Linked DNA regions of Arabidopsis thaliana. The protein of the gene in region 1 interacts with the protein of each later gene in a biochemical or structural test. Each region holds a gene or a part of one and is shown on either strand. Other genes may lie near its edges.

The links.
Region 2: the proteins of HSP81-2 (region 1) and SQN form a complex in vitro, tested with the Arabidopsis thaliana proteins (one study listed by BioGRID).
Region 3: the proteins of HSP81-2 (region 1) and TPR1 form a complex in vitro, tested with the Arabidopsis thaliana proteins (one study listed by BioGRID).
Region 4: the proteins of HSP81-2 (region 1) and TPR7 form a complex in vitro, tested with the Arabidopsis thaliana proteins (2 studies listed by BioGRID).

Annotation. Positions count from the first base shown.
Region 1 is NC_003076.8:22,684,858-22,689,979, forward strand, and holds HSP81-2 (heat shock protein 81-2), read left to right. Parts: upstream 1-1,974; 5' UTR 1,975-2,065; coding exon 2,066-2,275; intron 2,276-2,493; coding exon 2,494-2,635; intron 2,636-2,741; coding exon 2,742-4,576; 3' UTR 4,577-4,614; downstream 4,615-5,122. Other genes in the region: AT5G56020 (Got1/Sft2-like vescicle transport protein family), read left to right, coding at 291-549, 658-762, 1,239-1,349. UniProt on the Arabidopsis thaliana protein: Molecular chaperone. Involved in RPM1-mediated resistance. Component of the RPM1/RAR1/SGT1 complex. May stabilize RPM1 and protect it from SGT1-mediated degradation. Associates with RAR1 which may function as co-chaperone. Possesses ATPase activity.
Region 2 is NC_003071.7:6,877,265-6,882,923, reverse strand, and holds SQN (peptidyl-prolyl cis-trans isomerase / cyclophilin-40 (CYP40) / rotamase), read left to right. Parts: upstream 1-2,025; 5' UTR 2,026-2,180; coding exon 2,181-2,351; intron 2,352-2,739; coding exon 2,740-3,240; intron 3,241-3,339; coding exon 3,340-3,427; intron 3,428-3,537; coding exon 3,538-3,590; intron 3,591-4,150; coding exon 4,151-4,255; intron 4,256-4,376; coding exon 4,377-4,452; intron 4,453-4,594; coding exon 4,595-4,632; intron 4,633-4,726; coding exon 4,727-4,780; 3' UTR 4,781-4,811; intron 4,812-4,909; 3' UTR 4,910-5,150; downstream 5,151-5,659. UniProt on the Arabidopsis thaliana protein: PPIases accelerate the folding of proteins. It catalyzes the cis-trans isomerization of proline imidic peptide bonds in oligopeptides.
Region 3 is NC_003070.9:30,261,099-30,269,117, forward strand, and holds the start of TPR1 (TOPLESS-related 1), read right to left. Parts: upstream 6,028-8,019; 5' UTR 5,802-6,027; intron 5,443-5,801; exon of another isoform or gene 5,411-5,442; 5' UTR 5,349-5,410; coding exon 5,269-5,348; intron 5,197-5,268; coding exon 5,017-5,196; intron 4,935-5,016; coding exon 4,662-4,934; intron 4,570-4,661; coding exon 4,392-4,569; intron 4,275-4,391; coding exon 4,151-4,274; intron 4,012-4,150; coding exon 3,902-4,011; intron 3,791-3,901; coding exon 3,619-3,790; intron 3,523-3,618; coding exon 3,413-3,522; intron 3,327-3,412; coding exon 3,257-3,326; intron 3,187-3,256; coding exon 3,113-3,186; intron 3,035-3,112; coding exon 2,939-3,034; intron 2,842-2,938; coding exon 2,746-2,841; intron 2,648-2,745; coding exon 2,520-2,647; intron 2,416-2,519; coding exon 2,181-2,415; intron 2,101-2,180; coding exon 1,960-2,100; intron 1,864-1,959; coding exon 1,801-1,863; intron 1,714-1,800; coding exon 1,567-1,713; intron 1,499-1,566; coding exon 1,388-1,498; and 10 more. UniProt on the Arabidopsis thaliana protein: Transcriptional corepressor. Activates TIR-NB-LRR R protein-mediated immune responses through repression of negative regulators such as CNGC2/DND1. Negative regulator of jasmonate responses.
Region 4 is NC_003076.8:7,271,528-7,277,109, forward strand, and holds TPR7 (Tetratricopeptide repeat (TPR)-like superfamily protein), read left to right. Parts: upstream 1-1,543; 5' UTR 1,544-1,867; coding exon 1,868-1,963; intron 1,964-2,075; coding exon 2,076-2,306; intron 2,307-2,442; coding exon 2,443-2,499; intron 2,500-2,613; coding exon 2,614-2,742; intron 2,743-2,928; coding exon 2,929-3,006; intron 3,007-3,127; coding exon 3,128-3,198; intron 3,199-3,320; coding exon 3,321-3,370; intron 3,371-3,510; coding exon 3,511-3,658; intron 3,659-3,815; coding exon 3,816-4,329; intron 4,330-4,419; coding exon 4,420-4,563; intron 4,564-4,644; coding exon 4,645-4,791; 3' UTR 4,792-5,052; downstream 5,053-5,582. UniProt on the Arabidopsis thaliana protein: Plays a role in protein import into the endoplasmic reticulum (ER). May function as chaperone docking protein during post-translational protein translocation into the ER. Chaperone receptor mediating Hsp70-dependent protein targeting to chloroplasts.

The DNA.
Region 1 (5,122 bases):
CCGTATCTGAGAAATTAGGCGTTTTCGCCTGCTATTGAGGATTGGATTGGTGTAAATTAAATCTGGAATCTGAGAAATTGTGATTAACCATATAGTTTAAGCTTTGCCAGATTCGTTGATCAGATTTACAAATTCTCAGGGTTTGAAGCTATTGTTAGTGAATGATTTTGATTAGTGTCTTCTCTCAATGACTTAGAATTGATTAAGAGTCTTAAGCATATCTTTTTCTTGAAGTGTTACTAACTTTTTGATTTTGAATTTTGTTGTACTCAAATCTGGATTGTTAACAGTGTTTCGAAAGGAGTTAGAGATAACCTGCAGTCTGCAACAAGTAGTATGCCTTCAGGAAAAGCTTTGATGTATTTCGGTTTACTTCTAGCAAGTGGTGTATTCTTCATCTTCATTGCCTTCACCATGTTTCTTCCAGTCATGGTGCTTATGCCACAGAAGTTTGCAATTTGTTTTACCCTTGGATGTGGATTTATCATCGGATCTTTCTTCGCTCTTCGTGGCCCGCAAAATCAACTCGCTCACATGTCATCGGCAGAGGTAATAACTAATAACAAAACCTTGTGTTGTGCAGCTTCTTATATCTGCTGTATTTCGTTTACATTTTTCTCTTTGGAATTTTAATTTCTTGTTTGCTGGCTTCTCCAGAGGCTTCCACTAACTTTAGGTTTCATTGCCACCATGGTTGGCACCATATATGTCTCGATGGTGCTCCATAGCTACATTCTCTCTGTGATTTTCTCTGCATTACAGGTACTTAAATTTCATCTTCCTTCCCGACTCTTGTTGGTGTTTATATCCTCTGTTTTTCATATGTTAAAATTTTCCTCTTCCCCATTTCACAAATCTTACCTATGAAGTTCTTTTTTACCCTGCATGTTTCATCTAGTAAGCTCTTGCCTCGTCGAAACATAATGTGTTTAGTAAAAAACATGTAGACTTTCTTATTGCTGTTTTAAAATACAAGTTGGGTTAGTATGAATTATGAAGAAGCCTTGAACGCCATATCTTTGGTTGGTCTCTTGGCTTGTTTTTGCAAATGCACTTACTTGCGACAGAAACAGCTTTGATATATTATTACTCACCCGTTATCGATATGGAATATATACTTTAAGAACTCACTAAATCATATCCTTCATGTCGGTTTAAAGATTAGTCACGTATCTGCACATTCTGTAAGTATAGTAATCTCATAAAAAACCTGGTCTCTGTTCTCTGTGAATCCATAGGTTATTGCACTGGCGTACTACTGTATATCATATTTCCCTGGTGGATCATCGGGAATGAAGTTCCTCAGTTCTACTCTTACCTCCTCTGTCTTCCGAATGTTTGGGAGATGAGCTTTCGCTTTGACCTATGCAAAGAAAATAACTTGATTCTCTCGTGTATAAAGAAAGATGAAAGATCTTCAACAGTGGTTAAATGACAAATCTGGTAAAATATGTTGGTCCAATGGCTCAAAGACAGTTTTGTTATAAATTTCCTATATTGATACTTTCTGCTAAATTGGTTCAAAACTTCAAATCACTAGCCACTGGATGAGGTATGGAACTTGAAGAGTTGCTTGGTGGATACATTCTCTAATCTAGGGTAAGTCGTTAGCTTCAATGTCTTACTGTGAATTATTACATCAGAATTAAGAAAGTTATTACACGTATGTTTTCACTGAGTTTACTACACTGGCAATGTGGCATACATCTCTTACTGCAAATTGCAGACAAGTGGTCAATCAAATCTTTTTTAGTTGGGCCCAAAATGTCTGTTATTGGATACGTTGGGCCTTAAAATGGCCCCCATCAGTCAAAAACATCACTGCTTGGAGAAGGATCTAGAAAAACTTGCAAGTTAGTTCAAACAAAATAAAGGAAAAAGAACGATCTAGAAGAAAGAAAAAAAAAGGAAAAGAAACCCTTATGGAGGTTCCCACACCACTCTATATATAATAACATCCTTCTCCTAAATCCCGCATCAGTACTTCTCTCTGCTCTCAAGATAATTTTGTTCTCTCAATTTCATTCTTAAACCCTAGTTCTTCGATTTTTTCCGATCTACGACAATGGCGGACGCTGAAACCTTTGCTTTCCAAGCTGAGATCAACCAGTTGCTTTCCCTCATCATCAATACCTTTTACTCTAACAAGGAGATCTTCCTCCGTGAACTCATCAGTAACTCTTCTGATGTACGATCTCTATCTCTCTCTACCTTATTGTATACTTGTGTATCTCGTTTGATTGATTTGGCGGATGGATCTGTAGATTTAGGTTTGGTTAGGGTTTAGTGTTCTTTCCGTTGGGAGAATTTTGGTTACTTACTGAAGTTGCGAAGCTTTTTGTGTACAAATCTATTGTTTAGGTTTAGTGTTGATACCAAGGATTTAAGTAGTTTCTTGTTAGATTACCAAGTTTTCGATTGCTTATAGTTGATTTGCATACATATTATGTGTATTGTTTGCTTACGATTGTGATTCTATTCTGGTGAAAACAGGCTTTGGACAAGATTAGATTCGAGTCCTTGACGGACAAGAGCAAGCTCGATGGTCAGCCTGAGCTCTTCATTCACATCATTCCCGACAAGACTAACAACACCTTGACCATTATTGATAGTGGTATTGGCATGACCAAGGCTGGTACGTAATTGATTTCATCCTAAATCAATTTGTTTCGATTTTGTTGTTGTTTGTTAGTCTTGCATCTGTGTTTGTTTTGTTGGCTAATTCGTGCTTCTTCTATTAGATTTGGTCAACAACCTTGGAACAATTGCAAGATCTGGAACCAAGGAATTCATGGAAGCACTGGCTGCTGGAGCTGATGTTAGCATGATTGGTCAGTTTGGTGTTGGTTTCTACTCTGCTTACTTGGTTGCTGACAAGGTTGTTGTTACTACCAAGCACAATGACGATGAGCAGTACGTGTGGGAGTCTCAGGCCGGGGGATCTTTCACTGTGACCAGAGACACCTCTGGGGAGACTCTTGGTAGAGGAACAAAGATGGTTCTTTACCTCAAGGAAGACCAGTTGGAGTACCTTGAGGAGCGAAGGCTTAAGGATTTGGTGAAGAAGCACTCTGAGTTCATCAGCTACCCAATCTCTCTCTGGATTGAGAAGACCATTGAGAAGGAGATCTCTGATGATGAAGAGGAGGAAGAGAAGAAGGATGAGGAAGGCAAGGTTGAGGAAGTTGATGAGGAGAAAGAAAAGGAGGAGAAGAAAAAGAAGAAGATTAAGGAGGTTTCTCATGAGTGGGATTTGGTGAACAAGCAGAAGCCTATCTGGATGAGGAAGCCAGAGGAGATCAACAAGGAGGAGTACGCTGCTTTCTACAAGAGTCTCAGCAATGATTGGGAGGAGCATTTGGCTGTGAAGCATTTCTCTGTTGAAGGACAGCTTGAGTTCAAAGCTATCCTCTTTGTTCCCAAGAGAGCTCCTTTTGATCTCTTTGACACTAAGAAGAAGCCCAACAACATCAAGCTCTATGTCCGTCGTGTCTTCATCATGGACAACTGTGAAGACATCATCCCTGAGTACCTCGGATTTGTGAAAGGTATTGTCGACTCTGAAGATCTTCCTCTCAACATCTCGAGAGAGACATTGCAGCAGAACAAGATCCTCAAGGTCATCCGCAAGAACCTTGTGAAGAAGTGCCTTGAGCTCTTCTTTGAGATTGCTGAGAACAAGGAAGACTACAACAAGTTCTACGAGGCTTTCTCTAAGAACCTGAAGCTCGGTATCCATGAGGACTCCCAAAACAGAACCAAGATTGCTGAGTTGCTCCGTTACCACTCAACCAAGAGCGGTGATGAATTGACTAGTCTCAAGGACTACGTGACAAGGATGAAGGAAGGTCAGAACGATATCTTCTACATCACTGGTGAGAGCAAGAAGGCTGTTGAGAACTCTCCATTCCTTGAGAAGCTCAAGAAGAAAGGTATTGAAGTTCTCTACATGGTTGATGCGATTGATGAGTACGCTATTGGTCAGCTTAAGGAATTCGAGGGAAAGAAACTTGTTTCTGCAACCAAGGAAGGTCTGAAACTGGATGAGACCGAAGATGAAAAGAAGAAGAAAGAAGAGCTCAAGGAGAAGTTTGAAGGACTCTGCAAAGTGATCAAAGACGTTTTGGGTGACAAGGTCGAGAAGGTTATTGTTTCTGACCGTGTTGTGGACTCACCGTGCTGTCTTGTAACCGGCGAATACGGCTGGACTGCAAACATGGAGAGGATCATGAAAGCTCAAGCCTTGAGAGACAGCAGCATGGCTGGTTACATGTCGAGTAAGAAGACAATGGAGATTAATCCAGAGAACTCCATCATGGATGAGTTGAGAAAGCGAGCTGACGCAGACAAGAACGACAAGTCTGTGAAGGACCTTGTGCTTCTCCTCTTTGAGACCGCTCTTCTCACTTCTGGTTTCAGCCTTGATGAGCCAAACACTTTCGGAAGCAGGATCCACAGGATGCTGAAGCTTGGACTGAGCATTGATGACGATGATGCTGTTGAAGCCGATGCTGAGATGCCTCCCCTTGAAGACGATGCTGATGCCGAAGGTAGCAAGATGGAGGAAGTCGACTAATTTATCACACAAAAGTCGACTAAATTATTAGCGGTGTTATAAGACTATGGTTTTCTTTTTTTCTTTTCGTTAAAACTTATGTTATTTTGGTGATTATCTTCACGAATTTTTTCTATGGTTTTATTGTTGTGAAGATATTTCTCTGAACTCGGTTTTATGACAAAGATTCTATTATGCTCAAGAGACTGATTCTTACATATCCAAGCTGAATTTTGTCAGGGTATTAGTAGTAACCTAGTTATGATTATATCTTCCTAATTAGAATTTAGAATAACAAATTATAAGAAAATAGAATAACACAGAGATCATATCTTCTGGCATACATATCTTGCTGTGAATTATATTGCATCCGAATTAGAAAAGTTGCCACAGTTAAATTGAAATGTTTTCACTAAAAAAAAAAAAAACTACGCTGCCAATTGCCAATCTCTTGCTGCAAAGTGCAAACAAATGGTCAATCAAATTTTTAGATGGGCCCAAAATGTCCGTTGTTGAATACTTTGGGCCTTAAAATCGACCCATCAGTCAAAAAGACTCGTCAATATT
Region 2 (5,659 bases), on another chromosome or scaffold:
TGTACCTCATCATAATCTCATCTTTGATGTCAGTCCATCTCAAAAAAGGCCGCCTTCTTGCTTCATCTCTGAACATCCTAGCGATGACTCCCTGTTTCAGCATTTTTGCTTTCCCACTCTTAGCATGGTGATGCTTATCAACATAAGTTTATACTCTCCATATACCTGAACGCTTATGAGTGGAGCAGTATATCTTCCACTCACAATTTTCATGGCTGCAGATTGCTGCCAACTTATTTGCACCCCATCTACACAACTTCACATCATAATTCATCTTCAATACATACCGCAAGAGTTGATCCTTAACCTCTTAACCACTATTGAAAGTCTGCAACATCCAAATGTATGGAGGTTTATCCTTCGAAAACTTCTGTCGAGATGATGATCTTTCTGCTTGGTCATACGCATCCCATTCATCATCTGTGTCCATTGCATGATCCGGACGCTCTACATCATAACACTGTCTCTCAAATTCATCTTCATCTTCAACCTCTTCAGCAACGGTTTCTTCTGGTACTGTGTTAATGTCTTCAGCTGCAGCATCATCAACAACATCATCTGCAGCTTCTGTACCATTGTGAATTTCGTCAAAGAAAGCCTCAAACCGAGGATCATCGTGCCTTCTTTCTTCTACTGGATCTTCTCCATTAGCTTGTACTCTTTCAGGGCACTCATTAGTTTCTGCTGCAGGCTCCTCGTCTATGATATCTTCGGCATCATCATCCTCAACTCCAAGTTCCTCGTCTTCTACAACATCATTTGGAAGCGGAAAAGCTGCAGGTACAGAGACGGCATTGACGATGTATATGTCAACTTCCCCACCAATCATCGCCTCACGACATAACTCCCTTATCCCACCATCTTTGTCGGCACCGATAACTCTTGCTGAATAGATTTCCTCTTCTGGAAGCTTGTACCAAATCGATTCGACTTCACCATTGACTCCATTTTCTTTGCAAGAATCGTCGAATATAGACCATGTCATCAGATCAGGATCCATCACCATGTCTTTCGCCTCGACCCCTCCAGAGTAATCGAACCCTTGGTCCGTGAAGGATACATCGCCTCTATAGTTTATGTTGAGTTTCAAACACTCGAAATCACTGGAAAATAGAAATTAACCGATTAGTAGTGGTAAACAAACTATAACCTAACTGATTCATAACCCCTAACCCAATTTCAAACAAACCCAGAAAATTTCAAACTTAAGAACCCTAAAAATTCAAATCGACAGACCCACAACACACAAATCGACATACCTCATCTTTTCGACTGTTTACCAACTGGATCGAACGCAGATATACCCGATCAAACGCTTCGAATCATCGCCTCTTTCAATTTCTAAGTTTTTTGGAGAGAAATTAGAAATTTGGGGAGTTAGGGTTTCTCAATCCCAAATCGATTTGGGGGAAAACAAATGAGGGTACTGTAGTCTTTTAGTTAGTCAATTAAACCGCGGATTGTTAACCATTAACCCCGGTTTAGTGATTCCGTCAGCCAAATTAACGTCTGTTAACGCGCATGAATGATTTAACCACGAACAATTAAATAGTGTTTTTCTTGAACAAAATTTAATATTTTGGAACTTTAGGTTCCAATCAAAAACAATTGGGTATTAAAGTTTTAAATAAAAAATAGTTGGGTTTTTTTTAGATTTTTTCCCTAAAAAAAAAGAATAATATTTTGCAAAAAAATTAAATAATTTTTAAGAAAAAGAAATAATAAAACCAAATATTTATTGTGTAGTGGCCATAGTGGGCAATCACCTACTATCCACTCTTATGGAATGTACCCGAAGGGACGAGTAATAAATTTCTTATTTTTTAATTTTGGCAGCAAGTAATAAATAAATTAATTAAAAGTTAAAAATAAATAAAAAGAGACAAAATTTGTTGGAGGAAGAAAGTGGGTCCTAGGGTTTTCTTCTATCTGTCGTTTTGATTTCTGCGTTTAATAAGAGACAAGTCCCCGTCTACAGTCTTTTAGAGACGGAAGCTACTGAGACAGAGATTCACACCATTGTTCTTTGTCTCTTCCTCTGATTCTTTCTCTCTCTCTCTCTCTCTCTCTCTCTCTCTCTCTCTCTCTCTCTCTCTCTCTCTCTCTCTCTCTCTCTCTCTCTCTCTGTCTCGTCTTTGTTTCGGTTTCAAGAAAGCAAGAGGAAGAAGAAGAAGAAGAAGATGGGTAGGTCAAAGTGTTTCATGGACATTAGCATTGGAGGTGAGCTTGAAGGAAGGATTGTTATTGAGCTTTACGATGATGTTGTTCCCAAAACCGCTGAGAATTTTCGATTACTCTGTACCGGTGAGAAGGGTTTAGGTCCAAATACTGGTGTACCTCTCCATTACAAGGTTCTCTCTTTCTCTCTATATCTTTGTTTATACTCTCTTATGTATGAAATGTAGAAATGGGTATTTGTTGTTTCTGTGATTTAGGGTTTGTGGTTTAATGGGTCATTCGTCATTGGGGTTTATAAAGATCAAAACTTGGTTAAATTTGCAATTAGTTGTGAAAGAAAGATCAAAACTTTAGGATGCAATTGTACTATAGAATGGTTCTGAATGCTTATGATTTGAGGTTTAATGGGTTTTTGCTCGTATTGCTGAATAGCTTCTGACTTTGTTTCAGTATTGCAATTAGGTTACTGTAGTTTGTAGTGGTGAGGTAAAGATCAAAACTTTAGGTTGAAATTGTACTATAGGATGATGTACTTATGGTATTTGGTGTATTTGTTTACAGGGGAATCGATTTCATCGTGTTATCAAGGGGTTTATGATACAAGGTGGGGATATATCAGCTAATGATGGTACTGGTGGTGAGTCTATCTATGGCTTGAAGTTTGACGATGAGAATTTTGAGCTGAAACATGAGAGGAAAGGGATGCTCTCTATGGCTAACTCTGGTCCCAACACTAATGGCTCTCAGTTTTTCATTACGACAACTCGCACTTCTCATTTAGATGGGAAACATGTTGTGTTTGGAAGGGTTACGAAAGGAATGGGTGTTGTTCGGTCGATTGAGCATGTTAGCATAGAGGAACAGTCTTGTCCTTCTCAGGATGTTGTGATCCATGACTGTGGAGAAATCCCTGAGGGTGCAGATGATGGGATTTGTGACTTTTTCAAGGATGGTGATGTGTACCCTGACTGGCCTATTGATCTGAATGAAAGCCCAGCTGAGTTATCTTGGTGGATGGAGACTGTTGATTTTGTCAAGGCTCATGGGAATGAGCACTTTAAGGTGCTTTTTCCATTGTTTTAAATTGAATATATACGTTTGTCTGTTCCATATTTTCATTTCTGTGAGTCTGATCTGTTTTTGACCTTGATTTACTCTCAGAAACAAGACTATAAGATGGCTCTTAGAAAGTACCGTAAGGCTTTACGCTATCTGGATATTTGCTGGGAGAAAGAGGGCATTGATGAAGGTGGTTTATCAGTTTTTCTCTCTATATATGTTTCCACTTACTTCATCTCAAAAAATATTTATACTATCCATACCAATGTTCCCACTCACTCTCTACTTGGGATCTTGTAGAGACGAGTACTGCCTTGCGTAAGACAAAGTCGCAGATCTTCACTAATAGTGCTGTAAGTTCATCATGCTTTTACACCTTTTTTAAAGCTACATACATCCTTGTTGATATCTTTTCTTGTAAGTTGAACATATCTACCTTATATGTGTGTGTGCTTTACGTACCATCTGAAGATTGATTGTCTTTGGAGTCGTTGATTTTTCCAAAAGAACTTAAATTTCTTACTCTGTTGGGTTTTTAACATTACAATTTTTTTTGTTGAATCTGCTTAATTCTTACGGATGAGCTGTACCGTCGATAGAATGATAAGCAATTGATTGTGAACTAAAAATTAATTTGAAGTGCTCTACACTGCAGACCTGTCATTTATGTTGGTTTCTGCTGTTTGATTAATTTCTTGGGAAAAAGTAGGGTAGGTTGACCTTGACATAAGCAGGATAATATTCTCTGAGATTATGCTTGTGGGACATACATTGCTCATATGAATTATTGTTTGCATCTCTGTTTACGTTGCCAGTGTTTTCACTTGTCCAACTTAATTGCTTTGTTGTGCCTGTATAACCGATTTTTTTTTACTATGTTATCTCATTGTATTGTAACTGGCTGTTGTGGCAGGCCTGCAAACTCAAATTCGGAGATGCAAAAGGAGCGTTGTTGGACACTGAATTTGCTATGCGTGATGAAGATAACAATGTTAAAGCATTGTTTCGACAAGGCCAGGTACTTAAAAACTTATTGTTTGACAGTTTTCTAGAACCTAGACCACAATAACGAAAATTCTAGATTTCTCATGAGAGGAAGATGGTGTCTATTTCTTATCTGCGTTTGTTTATAATGTTAGGCATACATGGCTCTTAATAACGTCGATGCTGCTGCTGAAAGCCTTGAGAAAGCTCTTCAATTCGAACCTAATGACGGTGAGTGATTCATCAAGCTTCTATTAGTTGTGGTTTGACAAGTTTGGTTCATCATTATCAATGTATGAACATAGTACAACACACTTAAATATATTACGAGAGAAATCTAACTAGCATTTATTTCTGTGAGTTGATTTTTCAGCTGGTATCAAGAAAGAATATGCTGCTGTTATGAAAAAGGTCGGTATGCGGATAAAGAACACAAGTTCTTTTTGCAGTTACTTTACTTCTAGTATAAAATCTTAGAGCTGACGTTAATAACCATGTGTTGCAGATTGCCTTTAGAGACAACGAAGAGAAAAAGCAGTACCGCAAAATGTTCGTATAGGGGGGGGGGGGGGTGCTCTGCTTCATTTAGGGTAAGCCTAAGATTTGTTGTTAATCTCAGAAAACTGACCTAGTGTAAGCTTTATGTCAACTAATTTAACTCTCAGGGTTTTTGATGTTGTCTATGTAGGTTTGGTCGGATAGTGAGGAAGAAGACTAACAAAAAGTGAAAAGAAGCATATAAAGAAAGAAAAAACATTCAAAAAAGGACTTTGGGAATTGTTTCTATTTCCCTCATTTTGGTAAACATGTTTTTACTTTTGCATCATGGCAAAGACTGATGCATAGTAATATCGACTGGGAAATTGTTTTTACCCAAAGGATAGATTCAGTGCTTGAGACTGTTAATGAAATTTTGAGTTACTTGGCCACTCTGAGTTCTTTGCTTTCTTCCACGATTTTTTTCACGTTTGCTTGAATCAGCAAGTGGGCACTACAATGCTAGGGAATTTTGGTTTCCGCAGCATGCATATATGCTTACAAAAAATCCATTGGGAACTGTTTCTATTTCCCTCCTTATGAAATAAAATCAAATACGATTATTTTTTTTTGCGAAAACAATACTTTCTTCTGTTTCTAAATGATTGATTTTCTAGAAAAAGAATTGTTTCTAAAAGATTGATTTTTAAAGTTTTTCATGTGATATTAATTGGTTAGTATTGTGAACTGTAATTTCCAAGAAAAATAGTTAATTATCATTGGTTTAGAGTTATAGAAAACTATAAAATAATAAAATAATATATTTATATTGTTTTCTTAATATGTGTGTTTTGCTAAAAATCAATCTTTAACTTAATAGAGCAGGTAGAACTGAAACAGTTTTATACTAATAAGTGTAGACCAACGACAATCACAAATTACAGCGACCGTCTCGGAGGAC
Region 3 (8,019 bases), on another chromosome or scaffold:
TCTGAGGCTGGTCAGAGGCAGAAGCTCCAACGGAAGGTGTAGCCGTGACAGCGCTGGCTGAGCCATTTTCAGGCGGTGGAGCTACTCCCCATTTACCTTCTGACTCAAGCGGCTCGAATATATGGACCCCTCCGTCTGACAGACCCACTGCAAACATGTTGGATTCTTGCGGATGAGCCGCTATCACCAGTGGATGGACATTCGAGTTGCTGCACAAAACATCAACATGAAGACTCAAGATTCATGATCCAACATTGCACTAGTTTATATTCATTTCATTAACTCACCTGAGAGAAGCTGGCAAATATGCAGAGGGATTGACTCTGCAACGCAATCGAAGGTTTGCAGAGCTGAAGACGCATATTGTAGCGTCCATGAAACTTGTGTATATCAATTGGCTATCACATGAGAATGTGGCATGTGTTATTGGAGCTGCTGATTCACGCACAGGCCACTGGAATCAAAATAAAGACATTTCTTTCTTCTATAAGGGTTACTCAGATGCAAGGAGAGAGAATGAACATATATAAAGACTAAAACCTGTTTCATGCATTCAAGCTTGGTTGTTTCGTATATAGCGAGCTGAGTTTCATGGACCACAAGGAAGTGTACTTGATCTTGATGAAACTGAACACGCGTGTCTGACAAAGAAGACGTGGATCTTCCCTGTGGAATTTGCAGAACCTTGCTTTTCTGCTTCTCCCATCCATCCGTGTTCCATACGCAAAGCTGCATACAAAAACCAAAAGATTCACACTAAGACTTCTAAGGATTTGGATTCTTTATTACAAAACATGAGATGAATCAGCACCTGAGCGTCTGCTCCAGACGAAACCAGAACGTTTAATACATTGGAGAAAGCGAGGCCGGTTATTCTCTTAGAATGTCCTTTAAGCTTGCTCTTAACCTCATCAACACGAACATTGTAAATCTGTATTGTACTGTCATCCATCCCGATCGCAATGATATTGTTATCTTGAGGGTGAAAAGCAAGAAACGTTGCGGCAGGAGGAGGCGGCATGAAAGTAGCCATTGTCTGCGCTTAGCCAACAACACAATTAAATGTAACAGATGAAGCATTGTTTGCATACATTAGACATAGTGCTGTCTGTAGCTGGGATTTTACCTTAAACGTCATCATATTAAACAAAGAGATCTTTCCTCCCGATGCTGACATCACGTAGGAATCATTTTTCGATAAAGCAAAACAGGGTACGGCTTCTTCTGGATTAGTTTCAGCCACATCGTTTGTCATTAAGATCCCGCTCGCTGGTTGCCACTGCTGAGGAGGTAAAGAAGCCGTTGCCTACACAAAATCTCAAATTGAATTTCATCATGATTTCAACTCTTTTGGCGATCTTAAAGGAAGATTTTAGACCATAAGTACCTTCCCAGTTGCATTACGGTCATTTCGCTGCCACTTCCATAGCAGATGAATAGCATTTGATGCCAATGCCAAAATTGCATTTCCCGAATTTGTGAAAATCAATCTCGATATCTGCTCAAGTTTTGAGTCATTAGAATCAAGCCATATAAGTACAGTTATGTCAGTCTATGTGTTAGTACCTTGGTGACTCTCATATTCTCAGGGAGTCTCAATGAACGGCACTGAGAGGGTTCGCCGACTTCAGTAAGCTTCCATACCTTAGACTTATCATTTGATTCTTCGGTAATCACTGGCTTCACATCCACCATATTCCGCGAATCTCCATTCTGTTGGAAAGGTAAGTGATCAACAACGATGATTGGACCCAGACCAAGAGATAGAGAAACTGACGGAAAAAGTATCGATTTTCGTACCATTCCAGGGATGGAAACGACAGAGGCAGGTCTCTCTACCATCGGAATGCTGTTGATTGCAGGCTGCAAATGTACATGAAAAATAAAGTGTTGAAGAAATTTCAAATTGGGGGTTAGTAATTTGCTTGTTGAAGATCCAGTGAGCACAAAATTCAGTACCTTGGAGGATTCAGAAGATAAGTTCTCGACTGTGTGCAATAGCCTTAGACCATCTGAGTTTGCCATAACCTTAATCATATTGTCATTTGCGGAAACAGCCAAGAGAGAGCCTTCCTTGTTAAATCTGATCCGTGGACTTGCCTACAAAACATAGAGAGCCATGATGGCTGCAAATGAAAACATTCGGTTCCCAGGGAGAATCGAGGTATTTGTTTGCATACCTGGAGACCTCCATCAGCATCAATGGCAGTCAAAAGCTGTATGGTGTCCATATCCCAGAACTTAATGGAGAAGTCGTCACCCGCAGCGAGATAACGGTTTTTAGTAGTATCAAACTGGACAACACCAAGGGAACGCTTGTGGAATCCTTGATAAGTTCTCTTCACAGCTCCTTCGCTTTCATTCCACTCAACTATGAACGATTCCCCATCTTTACTCGTCCCACAAGAAAATAGCCTATCCATGTGAATATAATAAAAAATAGATTTTAAATTTATTATCACTTCATGACGATACAGAACAGAACCACAACATAAAGATGATGAGAATCATGTTATAACCTAGTTCCATCAGCACTGTAGGCCATCGTTGTACACCAGCGACCAGGAGCTTCGTAGTCAACCCGAGAACCCATATTATCATATAACCATGCTTTTATTTTTCCGTCAAGAGCAGTTGAAAAGATAAACTTAAGCAGAAGAAGAAATAAACAAGTCAAAACCAAATAGAAACGAATTTCAACTTGTACTTAGCAAAAATGAAACCGTATAAATATTGCTACTTTACCTGAATGTTTTCCTTGTAGTGAGGGCAGATAGAGTAAACAGGAGCTTCATGGCCTTCAAAAGTATACCGTTTTACACCCGTTGCAGCATCCCAGACCTTAATTCACAGAATTGATTAGTCTGTTTTTAGAGTTCCAACAAAAAAAAAAAAAAACAAGAGTTAAGGAAATGAAAGAAGAAAAAAAATACTGAACCTTGATGGTTTTGTCATCACCACAAGTAGTAACACATAGTTGCTTGTTCGGAGTGGAAAATGCAATGTCATTGACACCGCCAACATGAGCATCAATCTGAAATAATAAAAAATGATTTTCATTACAGGAAATGAAAGAAATACTCCTAAAATGTTGTTGTAAACTATATCACACCTCAAGGTGTTGCCTCATGTCTTCACCACCGTGATAAGAGTATAGCTGTACAATATGTCTCGAATAAGCAACTCCTGCAGTTGAAAACGTGCGCATATGAATACTCAAATCGGTTGAAAGAGCATTTGTAATCTCAAGTCTTACCGAATAGGGAACCGTCCGGGCTCCAAATCACACGGTTGACAGAAACGACAGGTTCTTTCACCAAAGCAGCCTATAAAGACCAGAATTGTTGGTCACTGAAGTTTCAAATAGATATTAGATATTAATATTCTGGTTGATTTTCACAAAAGAAGACACCTGCAAGGGCATCGAACATTTACTCAAGTCCCAAACTTTGAAAGTCTTCTGGACTAGACGTTCTCGAGAACCGACTTCCCAGAGCCCAATATCCCCTACATTCGTACCAACTGGAACAAAGAAAATTGAAGCAAGAAACTTCTGGTTTTACAAAATTTCTGATGATGTATGTTACATGAAATATGCATACAGACCAAGAAACAGACCTAGTAGCAGAGTCTGTTTAATAGGATGGAAATCCATGCTCATGGGAGATGAGCCTTGGCTCAAAGTTCGTGCAACTGTCTTGGGCAAGTCATCAGGTGCTTTGAAGGTTTGATTATGACCATGAGCCTGCCCCGGGAATGTCATTGGTAACATGTTCACACCTAGACTCACCTACATATGGGGAGAAAGAAGAAATACGTTTAAAGTCTAAACTAGTACTACCAATTATGTAAAATTGGTATTGATAAGAAAATATATAATATTAATTAAGATTTTTCTCACCTCGTCAGAGATTCCCATAGGTCTGGTTCGCTTTGAGACATGGTCTGAGTCACCTGATGGATAGTCTACAGCGGAATTAGAAGGAGGAGTTCTCGGGTGTTTCAAGGCTGCTAAGAACCAAAAAGGAGAACATGTTACATAGATCACAGGTGAAACTTAAAGGTTCTGAAAAAAAGGCGAGGATAAAATTTAAGACTATAGTTCCACACAGCTTTTATAAAGAAACACCACATTTGATAAGCAAATAACCTTGGATGGATGGAGCACCAAGAGCAATGGGTCCTCCAGACACAGCTGGATGTGGGACAGAGGAAGGACTAGACATCCAACCAGCAAGAGGTGTCGGAACCGGAGAAGGTGTTGGTTGAAAAGGCTAAAGACATAAAGGTAAGTCAAGCACGGCATGTAAAGGTAACTATAGAGCTAGAACCAAAAGCAGTAGAAATGGCACTTATAGAAAATACGAAAAATCAGGTGGAAATTGACCTACCCCGTGTGCGCCTAGAGGAGGAAATCCCTCGGCTTTTGGTAATGATCCAAGAAGCGGATTGTTGACAGGGGATGGTGCTCGTGCATCATTTGGTAGGCGGCAGGAATGATCGACAAAGAGAGTCTTAATATCAGGATTAGGCCTTGGGTTCTTACAAAGCTGGTGTTGCCAATTTAAGCTGCAGGTTTATGTAGCCACATAGAAACAAGGAGTTAAAGTAGCTGACAAGAAGAAAATTTGTTGAAGTGAACAAGAAAGGACAAAGAATACCTCTGATTAATCAGAGTCCTGAGGCGTGAAGTTCTAAGGGTAGGAAACTGCAATTTATCACGGAATAAAGGATTAGCTTCAATCAACTTCTTGAGTTCCACCAACATGATAGCTCTGGCGGACTTTGTGTCCCCATACTTGGATAACTGCTCGTTCTCCCTGAAGTTTTCTAAGGTCAAGAGCTGAGTGATTTCCTTGAAAAGCTCCTCATTAAAAGTGGAAAACACTTTCAAATCTTTGACTAAAATATCGACAGCCTTGGGACGATCATGCCTAGATAGAAGCAGCAGCAGGTGTGATTGATTGGCAATATGAAAACATTTGATTCTTGTTGTTGTTGAGAGACACAAGTTACCTATCCAAGGCCTCGAGATACTTCTGCTTCCTAATCTCGAAGAAAATCTTCATGGAGTATCGATTATCATCAACTTTAGTAAAACCAGAGAGATACTTCTCAACCTCATCCCAGTTACCATTGTGCACCTCATCCTCAAAATACTTCATATTGAAGAAAAACCCAGATTCTTGTTCAAGCCTAATTAATAATCAATCAAGTTAATAATAATGCCTAATAAAAGACAAAAAGGAAAAGAGAGATCGGACATACTTATGAACAGTCTCTTTAAACTTCTCTTCATCTAAAAACTGTAAGATCAAGAAGACGAGCTCTCTGCTCAGAGAAGACATGATTGATTTTGCCACTCAGTCCGATAAAGCTATCAAGTCAGATGCAGAAAAACCCACCAGATCTGCATATCAATATAATGGCGACGATGATAACCTTACAAAACCATCAAATCATCCCAATTTACTGGGTTTCAGATATTCCTCCATTTAATTATTATTTTTAAAAAATGAAAATAGACACAGCCTCTTAATTACACAGTATATAACTAGATCTTTACAACTATCCTCCGGAAAATTCTCCAAAAGTCTCTATTCCGGCGGATTTAATTAGTGTTTAATTGGGCTACACAAAAATTAGGTCTTCCTAGTATTATTATTGTCCACCGAATTAAATATAAAGCTTAAAATGGCCATCTTTTTCACTTCCATGAGACAAAAACAAAAATCAAAAACCCAGAAAAGCTACGATTTAGATATTAAACCAAAAATGAAAGACCTAGATACGTTACTTGCCATGAAGAAGAAGAAGACGATCGATTTCAGAAACAAAGGCCAGAGCTTCAGTTTCTCTCTCCTGATATTGAAAGAGGCCAAGGATTTGGGTTTTTTGGACTCTCCTCTCTCGACCAGAAAGTAAGAAAAAAACTAATGGAAAAAAAAAAAACAAGTTTTCTCTCTCTCTCTCTCTCTCTCTTCAGGCTTATTTATACGAACATTAAAATCTTGCAGAAATGGAGACTTTAATTTAAAACCAAAAAATAAAAAGTGATTTTAATATGCGAAGGTGACGGATAACGGAGTCTAATAAGACAATGCACCTATCACACGATAAGGGAGCTGATTTTGATAAGCACGTTGACTTATATATAAGTACAGATTAAAGTTTAAACCAGCATATACGACTTAGCCGGCTACAATTCTCGACGTTATCGGCTCAGAATCTCTAGCTGCTAGCTGTACTCCAAGTAGACATGATCCTCTGTGTCACAACATGAGTACACCCTCGGTGAGTGCCGTCGATCTTGTACGATGAACCTTAAAGGATATTCATCCAACGGTTTGAAAGCGAAGTAGCTGCGTCCCCACATTTCCCTCATAACACGACAAAGCTTTTCCTTCTGAAATGCATCTTTAAGTTCCATTGCCCTTGAAAATGACAAATATTTACCTAAATTGCCATTTTTATTCTTGAGATGCGGTACTCGTTGAACAAAAATCACGTGATTGAGAGATAATGGAAGAGGTTATCAGTTAAATTCTCCCGACATGATAACTCTTAAGCCTTCTCGTGATTTGGAGTCGTTAATAATTTAGTGAGACTCGTTTAATTTCTAATCATTTAACTGTTTTGGATTGTTTTTGTTAATCGCATAATGTGATGTGAGCTATATATATATTGACTATTGAGGATTATAATCGAATTTATTTACTCGATGACTAATAAAATGATTTTGTTTGTTTATTCACAGCGTAATTGGTATTTTCGTTATATATATTCGACGGTTTAATTACAATGAACCAATATGTTAATTTTATAATGTGTCTAGTGTTATTTTATATTGGTCTTTCAGACTTTGACAAGAAACATCGAGTTTGACGTCATTACCGTAAAGTATTTTGGCACCAAATGAAGATCAATATTATTTGTTTTAATTGCTCAAGAATGATGATGGTTGCTTTTGCTAAAGTTATGGGTGCACAAGAAAAGTATATAACTTTTGAAAAGCACATTTTTATTCTTTTAATTTACACGGTAACACGAGTATCTCTACTTTTCTAGTAATGCTTACACAGATTGATATCTTGATTATTTGGATATAAGTTCATTTGCCGATTTAGCTTGCTTTTTTATTCAAATACTGATTAACATGGAATGCAAGAAAAAGGAAAAAAAAACCTTCTTCTTGCCATGGCGAGTGAGAGGACTACTAAAAAGAATACAGTAATTCCAAACTGATAAATATGAGTTTTTACGTGTGGAAAAAAAAAATTTGAGTATTACCTTAGCTCTGCAAGATATATTAAGAATACAGCAAATAAAGAAGAAATCAAATAAGCATATTAGATTTGTTTTCACAAACTGAAAAATCCTCAAATACATAAAAAGAAAAACACATAAAAATCCAAACTAATAAATATGATTAATGATTCACTGATTTTCGCCTGAACTAAATTATGGTCGTAAGTTTTTTGTAAAAAATTGTTAAAAAAACAAAAACTGTCTTATCGAGACTTATAACAAATGATGAAAATCTGAAGAAATAATATATATTTTTCAAATAATTATGTGGTTTGACATGTCAACGTCTTTATTATCAATCAGAAGACAGTAAGGAACATTAACAATGAAAAGGGAAGTTATAAATTAAGATGTCAATATCAGACAACTACTCGTCAATCCATTATGATACGTTTCATTATGAGTCACTAGGTACATGTGCATGATGTAATTATCACTTATTAAACAGATTATAATTTTCAACTAAAAATTCGATTTGGTTTCTAAATAATATTTACAAACAATACAAATCATCAATGACAAAAAAATTGTTTGCTACAACGTCAAACTATTTTAAATGAGTAGATTCTCGATAGATCCTCTACAATCTACATACTTTACTTTGAAATAACTCTCCACTCTCCAGATCAGAACACAAATTGTAATAGATTAATAGCTCAAAAATAGATGAGTACTTCTCTTTAGAAATATAAAAATCAGACTAACACGTTG
Region 4 (5,582 bases), about 15 Mb from region 1:
ACTCATTTTTTCCCTAGCATATCAATTTTAAAAAAATAGTTTGCAATTTACGGCAATAAAATGTGGGCAACAAAAACAAAACTGAATATTTACATTCGTTTTCATTGTACAATAGAGGGTACATTCAAAAAATACAACTCACTCATTATCCTAGATTGCTTTGCCATATAATAGTAGAATACGTAAGAATGTGTCTACGATGTATTCTAAAGGATAACAAGGGCTATGTGAATTATAAAATCAAGGCTATATATGTGTATGCATATTTTGGTTCGTGTAAACATGTTAAAAAGTTGCTTTGTTGTAATCTATTTAGAAGCACATGCATGTTGTAATCTAGCTTCGAGAGATGTTGCACAACATGTATCAGAATGCTTTAGCAATATTGCTTTATTAATTATAAGTTGAAGATATTGTTTCCTTCTTGTTTGTTATATGATATAACTTTATTAATCCATTGGTTTCATTGTGACCAAGAAGAAGAGGTTTGCTAGAATTTCCTCGTTCTCGCTGCAATAGTACTTAGTGATTAGTTAATTGATAATCATAAATCATATCAACATTCACTTCTCTCAGACTGCTATCATTTAGTGAATCATAATCTCTGCTAATATTGAAAAATTGGGAGACGAGAGATAGATGAGAGTTGTAGCTAGCTTTAGTCAAAGTGGTCCTCTTCTAATGTGACTATACCACCGTTTCCATTCTTTCAAACATTGAAACATTTATGCTGCGGTGGAGAGAAATAAACATTTCAGAAAAATTAATTGATAGATGTACTCGTCGATGAAACTATATCGAAACAATATTGAAAAAAGTATTACCAAACACAACTTATATGTCACTAAAACTCGTCTTTTTTCTTTGTATGGTCAAAACACTAAAACTCGTTCAACAACTGAAAAGATTGTCGTATTGAAATAAAATTCTTTGCCCGAATAGTTGTACATATGTATTTTTTTGTTAAGATCATTTTGATATTTAAGATACTAAAAATTCTGCAGAAGACATGCATATTTTAAAGTTTAATAAATGGATTACTTTAGAGATTGAGTCTATGAAACTGAATACTAAACATTTTTGGATTCCAACAAATATATTATGGCTCTGAATGGTAATCAAAACCGCACTTAAAACCGCACCGCAACAGTACTGTAACAGTATTAAAATCTCTACATATTCATATGTATCTATATATTTTCGTTACTATTTGAACCGCACCGTACTTCTCCCGCACCGCAAAACGCAATCACCATTCGGAGCTTATATCATGGAGATGTAGCTGGGCAAACATATGATATCGATATCCAGACCCTAAAGAATTTTAAAATATCAAAAAATTATTTGTACCCTCAAACAAATTTAAATTGAATTTTATTGACACTTTAACACGTGTAACAGTTAAATTGGACGACTCTTTCTAAAACGAAATAAAAAAGAGTTTAACAAGAGATTCGTTTCAGTTTAAGAAGAAAAAAAACACGAGATTAGTCTTCCAACATGGACAAGGACATGACAATTTGCACGTAATCATATAGTTACGTTAATCAATACAATTACGTAAATTAATTTATTATGGCACGTCACAGCATCATCGTAGATCAAGGGTAAAACAGTCATTCTCCATCATCCAGGCATATTCCGGTCGGTGAATTGAGGAGGTTGAGCGATAAATTTTCCAATTCGATTCTATATTATTGGAAACTACTTTCGGGTCGGCAAAACAATTCTCCTTCGATTTTCCGATTCTCACAAACTCAATCTCGATCCAGATTCCGAGCTTATCCTTCTCTGGCGAATTTCGATTTTCTGTGTTTCCGATCTGATTACAGAGAACCACATCGAAGCTTCGAGAAAAAAAAACACGATGTTTAACGGGTTAATGGATCCTGAGATGATTCGGCTCGCTCAAGATCAGATGAGTCGTATGACTCCTGCTGATTTCGCTAGGATCCAACAACAGGTTTCGTTATTTTTCCTGATTCGAATTATTCGATCGATTCTGAGGAGAATTTGTTTGATTTGATTTGATTATGGCTTTGTATGATGAATTTATACCATTGTTTATTATACAGATGATGTCAAATCCAGATTTGATGAATATGGCAACAGAGAGTATGAAGAACATGAGGCCTGAAGATTTGAAACAAGCTGCGGAACAGCTTAAGCATACTCGGCCTGAAGATATGGCTGAGATTAGCGAGAAGATGGCTAAAGCTTCCCCTGAAGATATTGCAGCTATGCGTGCTCATGCTGATGCTCAATTTACTTATCAGATCAATGCAGCTCAGATGCTTAAAAAACAGGTAACAATTGACTTCCTGAGAGAAGTTTTCTATTGAATTTTGCTTTCCTGATTATAAAGTAAGGAACAAGAATGGCTTCAGCAAGTGGACCTTTGTGTAATTTGATGTTAATCTCATTTTCTACTACGTTTGGCAGGGAAACGAGCTTCATAGCCGAGGAAATTTCAGCGATGCCGCAGAGAAATACTTGCGTGTAAGTCTGCAGACGTATCTCATTTGTCATGCTACTTGACAAGAAGAGTTTTATTTGTAACCTGATATGCGATTCTTTTCTACTTGTTTACAATGCTCTTGGACCATATCTCAGGCGAAGAACAATCTGAAAGAGATTCCATCTTCTAAAGGTGGAGCAATTTTGTTGGCTTGTTCTCTCAATCTAATGTCGTGTTATTTGAAGACGAATCAGCATGAAGAGTGCATAAAGGAAGGTTCTGAGGTATATTCTTTATGCTCTTAATTTTCTGAAAACTCATAGATGAAAACATTTTTAGGAAAAAGAGAGATGGCAATCTTTTGGCTTCTTTTTTGTAGATGTAACACATGATGTCATACAGCGTTTTATGATCTATTCAAAACTGTTTCGACATTCTTCTGATAAATTTACATTCTTACATTATTTCAGGTTTTGGGATATGATGCAAGGAATGTCAAAGCCCTATACAGAAGGGGTCAAGCTTACAGAGATTTGGGCTTGTTTGAAGTGAGTTCTTCTGTTGCTTATGGAACTTTCTTGAGATTCCTTGTCGATATATATGTTTGTACTGTAGATATGTCCTGACTATATGTTTGCTCAATGCTCATTCACTCTCTTAAACTATAAGGATGCCGTCTCTGATCTAAGCAAGGCCCATGAAGTTTCCCCAGAAGATGAGACAATTGCCGATGTGTTAAGGTATGGATTTTTATATTCATTACTGGTAATGTCATACTTTTCAGTTCTGCTTATCTCAGAGGTTTTGATATTAACATTGAAAAAATAACTTTTGACTTGAAGTATTATCTTTTCTGATGCAGAGATGTTAAGGAAAGATTGGCTGTCGAGGGACCTGGCAAGGCATCAAGAGGTATAATATTATTCCTTATGATTTATTCGAAAGAATTCAGTGTATTATGTCAGACCAGACGTTTCTTTACTACATCAATGATATGCTTCGTCCATGAATATGGAAACGAACTGAAAAATGTTATGTTGTTTGGTTATTAGGTGTGGTGATTGAAGACATAACTGAAGAAAATAATGTTACTTCCGGAGAGAATAAAAAACCGTCAAAAGAGGCTAATGGTCATGCTCAGGGCGTAAAGACTGATGTTGATGGATTGCAAGCTCTCAGAGATAATCCAGAAGCAATCAGGTTCGACACCTTTCCAAACATTAGTGTTTGATGTGTTGTTTCATCTTTTTGTCTCCTAATCTTGAAGACAAATATAATCTAAAGCATCCTTTTTCTGCTACATTTGGCACGATTAGTATGATTTTCTAATTGTTTTTATTCTTTCTATGGCCTGCAGAACTTTCCAGAATTTCATTTCAAAAACTGATCCCGATACACTTGCTGCTCTAAGCGGAGGCAAAGCTGGAGACATGTCACCGGACATGTTCAAAACTGCGTCAAGTATGATAGGCAAAATGTCACCTGAAGAGATTCAAAAAATGGTTCAAACAGCCTCTTCGTTTAAAGGAGATAACCCTTTCGCCCCGACTGCGCCATCTACCGAAAACGGTTTTACACCCACACCTGACATGCTTAAACTTGCATCTGATATGATGGGTAAGATGTCACCAGAAGAGCGTGAGAGGATGTTTAACATGGCATCGTCTTTGAAAGCAAACGCTCCAGCTTCAACATCATACGGCAATGCAGAAGCATCTGAACCACGGGAAAGTTTAGGAGCGAGTGGGAGTTCTTCGGGAAATTCCTTTGTGGCTCCAAGAAGCGGTTTCGAACCAAGCATCCCTTCTGCTCCGCCTGCTGACTTACAGGAACAGATGAGAAACCAAATGAAAGATCCAGCGATGCGACAGGTTTGATCATTTTCGGTTTATGTTTTACCAATTTAGTCAACATAATGTGATTGTTGATGTTCATATAGTAGTTTCTCTGTATATTGGTAGATGTTCACGTCTATGATAAAGAACATGAACCCTGAGATGATGGCTAGCATGAGCGAACAATTTGGAATGAAGCTTTCTCAAGAAGACGCTGCAAAAGCTCAGCAAGCCATGGCTTCTCTTTCTCCCGACGCCTTGGAGAAAATGGTACGAATTCGGTTTAGTAAAACCAAAAGAACATTCAAAGTTGATTGTATAGTTGTCTCAATTGTAAACACGTTGTTGCAGATGCGATGGGCGGATCGGGCTCAAACCGGGATGGAGAAAGCGAAGAAAGCAAAGAAGTGGTTGTTCGGAAAAGGCGGATTGATCTTTGCAATATTAATGCTCGTTTTAGCAATGGTCCTTCACCGTCTCGGCTATATTGGAAACTAGAGGAAACAACGGTATCTTAAGGCTTAATCCTTCGTGAAGATAAAACCAGTCTTCGGTGGGTTCGTTTAGTTTGTAAAACTGTAACATCGTTTTATCTTCTTTTTCTTTCCTCTAACTCTCAGCTTTTTGTTAGTCCACTTGTGTCTAAATTTCTTTACACTTTCTTCTGTAGTGAATTTTAAATTAGAGAAAATACGAATATTTCCTTATATTCGTTATTTTATAAACATAATTATGCTTCTGGTAGAGCGCCTCTACAAGAAAATTGGTTATTTGCGTTGGGAGATTCTTTTAGCAAATAGAAAAGACCATTTCTAATGGTTGTCTCTATTTTTCTTTATAAATATAGAAGGAAAAATAGAGATTTTTATTTTCTATTTTTATATATAGAGAAAAAAAATAAAGATCTCTATAATAGAGGTAAGAATAAAGATGAGTTAGAGTAAAATAGAGGCAAAAATAAAGTTTAAAGACAAAAATAAAGATGAGTTGGAGATGTTCTAAAGAGAAAAGTTCGAGTAAAAAATTTTTTTTTCGCAATCCAACGTTTGCAAATTTTGCGAGGAGAAATTTTGAAATAAGTATATAAAATCATCTTAAACTTTATTAAATTCATAGATATTAAAAAAATAAAAAAACTTCATTAAATTTTAAATTATATTTTTTTTTGTGCACCCAAAATTTAGATAATTTAATTATTTTAATATACGACTGAATACACATTCTTCAAAAGTAAAAAATAAAGAAAAAACTTAGAAGGATGAAGTACAAGAGAAGGAAACACGTGTCTT